Linked DNA regions of Nothobranchius furzeri. Each later gene encodes a partner of the first gene's protein in a complex. Links are inferred from orthologs where the notes say so. Each region holds a gene or a part of one and is shown in the gene's direction. Other genes may lie near its edges. The genes, in order: nhp2 and dkc1.

Region 1 (4,385 bases):
GTGAATTTCACACAAGGGGCCTTTAAATGAAGCAGTGATTAACGGGCATCTGCAGCACTTGATGTCCTTCTGAAGAGCCGATGTAAATCAGGTGTGCTGAAGCAGAGACATGGACAACATCCAGGACAGTTGTCCCTGAGGACCAGGGTTGGGACACACTGAGGTACACTATGACATAAGCTGGTACTATATGATGTCACAATGCTGTTGTGAGCCTGTGTGTTTGTGTGTTTGTTAGTGGCTCCACCCTCTCACTCTGCCAGGCAACAGCATTTGTTGCACTTTTCAAACAGGAAGTGGGAGTGGAGTAAGCCTCTGGTAGGGGGTGACTTGCTCTTTAATGAGTTAACTAGCAACATTTTACAGATAATAATTATTGCTGTGTGGAATTTGTTGCATCTTTAAAATGCTTCGTAACATTTTTCTCACACACATTCCACTAAATCAGAAGTGAGATCAAAGAAAAGGTTTTTATGTGAGGGCGCACGGTGGTTGGGATGGGTAGCGTTCTGTCCACGTCCGTCACGGGCTGGGTGGGGGTTGAGCGGGTGCGCTTTGCCGACCTCCGGGGAGGCTTGGTACTGGAAGACAAGATGAACGGCTCTCTACAGAGACTCGGCTCTCATTGTTCACTTTGAAAACCAAAAGATTTGATTTGCTCGTGAATGTCACATCACTGCAGATAAATGAGTATGGAAGAAGAGGACAGAGCATCGTTCTTCTCCCAGACGGAGCAATAATCATACATTTGTGTCTCTGAGGACTACAAAGATGTCAGAACTAAAACAGACCACCAGCTGTTTTACATCCAGTGGTCTCCTTTAAAATGCAGCTGAACGCTCACCTGTTCAGGTGCTGCTACCTCTTCTTACTCGTTTTCTTTCTTCCCTCTCATTTTTATGTTAAATTTTCCATTTTCACAATTTATTATGTGTTTTTAATCATGTTTTAGTTTTGTTCTTGTGAAGCACCTCTTGACTCTTATCTTCAGAGGTGTTGCCCTTGTTCAGGCTGGCTTTTGTGTGACCTTCTTCACCACTCTCTTTATTCTGCTCTCCCCACCTATTCCACCTTCCTCAGGATCTTTCCCTATCTATTCACTCTCTCTCTCTTTCTTTACATTTTTTTAATCACAATTGTCTATTTTTTGCTCATTTTAAACATATTTTAACCATTTTCTAAATTATTTTTTTATGTTTTACACTTTTTTTTGTGAAGCGCCTCGTGATTTTCATCCTGAGAGGCGCTATAGAAATGATACTTTCTTCTTCTACACACACACACACACACACACACACACGCACACGCACACACACGCGCGCGCGCGTCTACAGGCCCTCTGTAGACTTTGCCGACATTTCCGCTCCTGGCCGCCGGGGGCGCTGTGGTCCAATGGTCCTGTTAGTCCGGGACAAGAGTTAAAACACGTGCGTGCTGGGTGAAAGCAGAAAGCAACAATCGGTTATTGATTATCAGAGATGACGAAGACGAAGAAGGAAAACGCGGATCCAAATGATTCGGTCGCATCGGCCGGTGGTTCCGAGAGGACCTACCAGGAGCTGGTCTCCCACCTGAACCCGATCTCTCAGCCGCTGGCCTCCAGGAAGCTCAGCAAGAAGCTCTACAAGTGCGTGAAAAAGGGTAAAAGACCACCGAGACCCGTTAGACCGGTGCTTGTGTCCCGCTTCTTTACCCGGTGTTTTGATTTCAGCTGCTAAGGTGAAGAACATCCGGAGGGGCGTGAAAGAAGTTCAGAAGTTCATCAAGAAAGGAGAGAAAGGGTGAGTTAGCTTCACGGTGCCCGGGTCCGTCCAGAACCTCAGTCCCCATTACTGTAGTGGTCCGGTCCGTCACTGTTTTCTGTCCCTCAGAAGAAGTTCCGCACTAATTTTTTTTTTATGTATTTAAATGTGAACATTATTCAGTTTTAGCGCATTGAACCATTCAGGACACCGTAGTCATCCGCGCGTTAGAACCTCACCTGTGCTCACCTGAACCCGGTCTGGTCTCTGCAGCATCGTGGTCCTGGCGGGCGACACGCTGCCCATCGACGTGTACTGTCACCTGCCCATCATGTGTGAGGACAGGAGCCTGCCGTACGCCTACGTGCCCTCTAAAACGGTGAGTGAGTGGAGCTGGGGTCAAAGGTCAGCAGGTGTTGTCAGGATTTCAGATTTCTCACACGTCAGTTTTAACCCTTGACTTCAAGTAAAACACACATTCTATGAGGTAAAGGGCTGGTGTCGTGGTTTTTAGATTCTGATTGTGTTAAACGTTATTATTACTATTATTATTACTACTATTACTAGTACTATTATTATATATGATATATGTGTATATATGATCCAACGGTTTTGATCTAAATCAGGGCCGTGTGCATATCTGGTCCATCTACACCGGGGGGAGGGGGTTCCACGTAGTGAGCTCAGAACGTCAGCGCTATAATGAATCCATGCTTCCGTACCACCAACGATGCTCGAGTGGAATCATCTCTATTTAAAGCAAGGCCCACAGGCAGACCCTGTTAATCGATACTAGATAAATGAGAATGGAAGAAGGTACAGAGCCTCGTCCTTCATCTGGATAGAGGAAGATTTACGAGGACTACAAAGACATCAGAACTAAAACATGCCACCAGCTGTTTGATCAAAGCTGGATAGCTGGAGTGTTTACAGGTTTCCATGGCAATGCCGAAAGTCCGCCTCAGCTCTGTTGCTGAGTTTTCATCATTTATATGTTGTTATCATGTTCTGCTCCAGGGTCTGGGTGTTTACAGTCTCGAGGACGTAGTTTTTGCTGAGCAGTAGTGGTGGTCACGTGACCTTAAAGTTGCCCGTTTGTCACAAGTATGTTTATGTTTATTTATTTGGCAGACGCTTTTATCCAAAGCGACTTACAATTTATAACCTATAGGGCGTGTTGTGATCTGTGGGGGAAACCGGAGTACCCGGAGGAAACCCGCGCATGCATGGGGCCAGAGTACAGCTTTTAACGCAGGGCTACTCGGTTAGATTTTTTGTTGGGCCAAATTATCATGAGGCTTTTGCCAGCGGGCCGTACATTTCCCCGTATCTCATATTTACCTATTAAAACAAAGTGCCGCTGCATTTTCAACAGTTTTATTGAAACAAGTCAAATGACATTAGGATTAACTGCTGGTTTTTAGTGAAAATAATAGAAACTGCAAAACATAGCCAACTCTGGTTTTAACAGAACTCCGAGTCACAAACTCAGTTACAGTACTTGTTTTCGCTTAAAATAAAGCCAAGAAAACATAACCAGCTGTAGTTTGACTGAAATCACGGTCACATAAAGAACACAGTAACGATAATTACAATGTCTTTTATGCAAATAAGAACAAACAAAACTTTCAATTAAATCACAAAATTAAACTACTGGCTTTTAAAGCATATAAATGAAAGAAAAGTCTGAGTCAACAACTCATAGTGACAGCACTTGCTCTGTGCTTAGTAAAGCGTAGAAAACAACCGGTTTAGTAGGGCTGGGGGTAAACGATTATTTTTAAAACGATTATTCTGATGATTATTTTATCGAATAGTCGACTATTCTAATGACTATTTAGAAAATTAATCTAATGATTATTTTTCTATTGCACAATTAACAAAAACCAGAAAATCTCAAATAAATTCCTCAAAAAAATTGATAAATTCTTACTGTAAGAGAATAAACACTACAGGCCTTCCATGCTTTTATTGTGTTGGTTGGTTATGTTCTGGTGACGTGTAGAACTTGGGAGTGCAGGCTGCTGCCTGAGAGGTGGTAGAAGATGGAGTGTCTCCATGCTGCTTTGTTTTGGTCACTTATGTGCGTGAGGCGAGTGGTCTTACGGGTTAAACCAAACTCAGGTGATATTTTACACTAAACCGAAAACCCACAACACTCTAAATGTAATAAAAGGGAGATCTGCACCACAAAAAAAGATGAACTCTAAACCAAAACGTAACAGCTTATCCCAACGCAAGAAGCTGTTAGCGAAGATGCTAACAGTAGCTTTACCAACGTTAAGTTCAAGTTACCAAGTTTAAATAAACCAAAAACACCCAGCAGCAAACAGACCAGCATGGAGGAGAGACCGTTACCACCAAAACAGCTCTCCTCATGTCTGAAAGAAGCTCCTTAATGAAGGGAGAAACGCTCCCGGTGATGTTCTACATCTGCGATAGACACGAAGCAGCGCGTCTGACCCCGGAAGTTGTTGTCCGTTGCCGGGAGACGAAGGGGCAAAACAGGAAAGGAATCTAGTAGTGGACGGACGTTGTTCCGGGTCTTCGGTATTTGGCGGAGATGTTAGTGAAGGCGGAGAAGAGGGCGAACTAGAGGAAAAACAGACAGATTCCTCCTCTATTTACAAACTCCTGGGGATG
Region 2 (3,047 bases), on another chromosome or scaffold:
GAGGTCATGAAGTTTGATGCTCTTCTGCTTTAAATCATGTTTTTCTTCTGAACAGGCATCTTCTGGGTCAGCTGTGAAGCAGGAACTTACATCAGGACTTTGTGTGTCCACCTGGGACTTTTACTTGGAGTTGGAGGACAGATGCAGGAATTGAGGAGGGTCCGGTCTGGAGTTCTGGGCGAGAAGGTCAGTGTGTGTCCACGTGCATCTTGCTGTTGTGATGGTTTATTGTATCACAGCTGGTTAAGTGATCGCAGTAGGAACCACGTTCAGTTCTCTAGTCCAAAGTGTTGAGTCCAGCTCTGCTGCTTAGTGCCGAGCTGTTAATTAGACTTTGGAAGAGTAAGCGCAGCGGAGCAACGATGGGCGTGCATGTCCGCCTGTTGAGACTCGGTGCTGCTAACATAACATCTGCTTTCAGGACAACTTGGTGACGATGCACGATGTTCTCGATGCTCAGTGGCAATTTGATCACAATAAAGATGAGACTTATCTGAGGAGAGTCATCTTCCCTCTAGAAAAGCTGCTGGTGTCATACAAACGGCTGATGATGAAGGACAGCGCGGTGAGTCTTCCTCTAGTCGGGGACAGCGTGTGACCGTCTGTGAACGGAGAACAATGCAGTGTGGGTTAAATCTGTCGGAGTGAACTCATGAGTGCCTCTACAGGTGAACGCCATCTGTTACGGTGCCAAGATCATGCTTCCTGGTGTCCTCCGGTACGAAGACGGCATAGAGGTTAACCAGGACATCGTTGTCATAACAACCAAAGGCGAGGCCATCTGTACAGGTGAGTCTGTTGTGGCGTGCTGATTTTGGTGTGAAGCCACATGATGAGTTGAGTAGATGCAGCAGCTTTCGGGCAGTGATGACCTGCTATCTATCACCCTTTTCTGATGGCCTCCAGAAGACCTCACTAAACTCTAGAAGGGGTTAAAATCACATTAACCACATCCTCCTCCTCCTCTAGCGGTAGCACTGATGACCACAGCAGTGATCTCCACCTGTGATCACGGCGTCGTGGCGAAGATCAAGAGGGTGATCATGGAGAGAGACACGTATCCACGGAAATGGGGTCTGGGTCCAAAGGTGGGTGTCGTGTTATGATAGTAAATGTACAAATCTGATTTTTTTTTTAATCTGCCAATAAACAAAAATAATTCCAATAACTTTGTAAATAAAATTTGAGTAGAAGAAACTGTTATTTATTTTTAATCAGGCATGTAAGAAGAAGATGATGATCAAACAAGGACTCCTAGACAAACACGGAAAGCCAAACGCCCAAACTCCTCAGGACTGGAAAGACGACTACGCAGACTACAGGTAGTGCTGCTGTGGGCGGGGCTTCGGCTGCAGACGGTTATCCCTTTTTGAGCTGGTGTGCCCTCTGAGGGAGTAAGTCTGCTAGAGAAACTCTCGTGTTGGAGCGCCTGTACTCAGCATGTACTGTCTGCTGACGGCGCCGCTCAACAGAGTACAGAGTCGTCATGAGCTGCGACGATGTCAATACATCAAACAGTGACTGACATTTTGTTTTATTTTTTGACAGTGTTACTGTTAAGGAAGAACCAAAAGACACCCCTGCTAAGGTAATACTGTCACATAGTGCTACCCCACTGGTGGTGATGGTGAAAACTGACCTACAGTGACCTCTGACTTGTAGAGAAAACGGGAGGCTACAGAGTGTGACAGTGAAACCCCGGAGACTCCTTCTGCAGAGGTAAAGAAAGAAAAGAAGAAAAAGAAAAAAGCAGAAATGGAGGAGGAGCCAGAAGTGAAGGAGGAGGAGCCAGAAGTGGCGGAGGAACCTGACACACAGGTGATTGAGCGTTTCCTGCATTCTCGTTCAACTTTTAGGTTCCTGGTGAATAATAAACTTAAGTGATGGCTTTTCTTCTGCAGGTTGAAAGAAAATCAAAAAAGAAAAAGAAAAAACTAAAGGAAGCCGATGCGTCGGAGTAAATCACTCGCTCCAAACACTTGTAACCATTTCCATCCTCTAAAGTTGACCTCAGCGAATCCCAGTGAAGAGCATCTTTGGCTAAATGGAACGTCCCCATCACTGCAAATCATCTGATCGATAAAAGCTGCAGCAGTAGAATGTGTTTGGGAAACCATGATAATGCAACTTTAAAAAAAAAATACCTTCTGAAGCAGCGTTGCCTCGTTTTAAAATGGCTTCTGATTCTGTAAGTGCTGCTAGACAGCAGGAGAAATGGGGTCGAAAGTAATAAGTTTGTAGATTTGGTTTTCAGCCTTCTGGTGTTTGGCATGGAGGCAGAAAGCATGCTCACTTGTAAATATCTAACTTTTTTATTTCAAAATAAATGTATTCTGTGTATAAAACGGGGATTAAAGTTCTCTCATTTCTAAGGTTTGGATGTCTGTGAACATTACAGAATATTCAGATTGGTGTAAAGAACATATTAACAGGTCATGATCTAAAGCTGTTCAAAGGTATAAAACTGCCCTGGGCCTAAAGCCCTGCAGATATATTTAGTTTCTATAAATACCAACAAATAAAAGCAGCTGGATTCTACTTTGTTCCTTAAATTGAGTCACGTTCCTGTAGCTCACACGTTCAACAGGGAGCTCTGCCAGCTGATTGGTTCTTTAACAGGGAGCTCTGCCAGCTGATTGGTTCTTTAACAGGGAGCTCTGCCAGCTGATTGGTTCTTTTGGTAACTACTGTAGTTCTGGTACTTACCTGCTGATGCATCCATCCTGCTATCGCTGTAGTCTGTTCACAATGGTTTAAACGTTAACACATGAACATGTTTAGATTATCATACATAGCTACGAGTCTGTTACTCTACTTCCCCCCCCCCAAAATGCACCAAATTGATGCGTTAAAATATAAAATGTCCAGTAATTTTTTTCGTGGGGGGCATGACACCCCTGGAGTAATATTTATCTTTTTTACCTCAGAGAAATCTCAACACCCAACACTGTGTATGTGACTGGTTATCAAAACCCGAATAGTGGCTGCGTGTAAACAATGTGAGTGAGCCCCCCCCCCAAATTTTCAGTCATGAGAATTCTTTGCTT

Evidence for each region.
Region 2: nhp2 (region 1) and dkc1 share a complex: the UniProt entries of both Homo sapiens proteins name them as parts of the H/ACA small nucleolar ribonucleoprotein (H/ACA snoRNP) complex. The link is inferred for Nothobranchius furzeri from reciprocal best matches to the Homo sapiens genes NHP2 and DKC1.

Annotation. Positions count from the first base shown.
Region 1 is NC_091750.1:25,734,553-25,738,937, forward strand, and holds the start of nhp2 (H/ACA ribonucleoprotein complex subunit 2-like protein), read left to right. Parts: upstream 1-1,365; 5' UTR 1,366-1,478; coding exon 1,479-1,641; intron 1,642-1,711; coding exon 1,712-1,781; intron 1,782-1,981; exon of another isoform or gene 1,982-2,015; coding exon 2,016-2,121; intron 2,122-4,385. UniProt on the Homo sapiens protein: Required for ribosome biogenesis and telomere maintenance. Part of the H/ACA small nucleolar ribonucleoprotein (H/ACA snoRNP) complex, which catalyzes pseudouridylation of rRNA.
Region 2 is NC_091758.1:16,257,810-16,260,856, reverse strand, and holds the end of dkc1 (H/ACA ribonucleoprotein complex subunit DKC1), read left to right. Parts: intron 1-55; coding exon 56-186; intron 187-421; coding exon 422-565; intron 566-668; coding exon 669-789; intron 790-824; exon of another isoform or gene 825-901; intron 902-969; coding exon 970-1,088; intron 1,089-1,218; coding exon 1,219-1,322; coding exon of another isoform or gene 1,323-1,326; intron 1,327-1,548; coding exon 1,549-1,588; intron 1,589-1,662; coding exon 1,663-1,818; intron 1,819-1,901; coding exon 1,902-1,961; 3' UTR 1,962-2,372; downstream 2,373-3,047.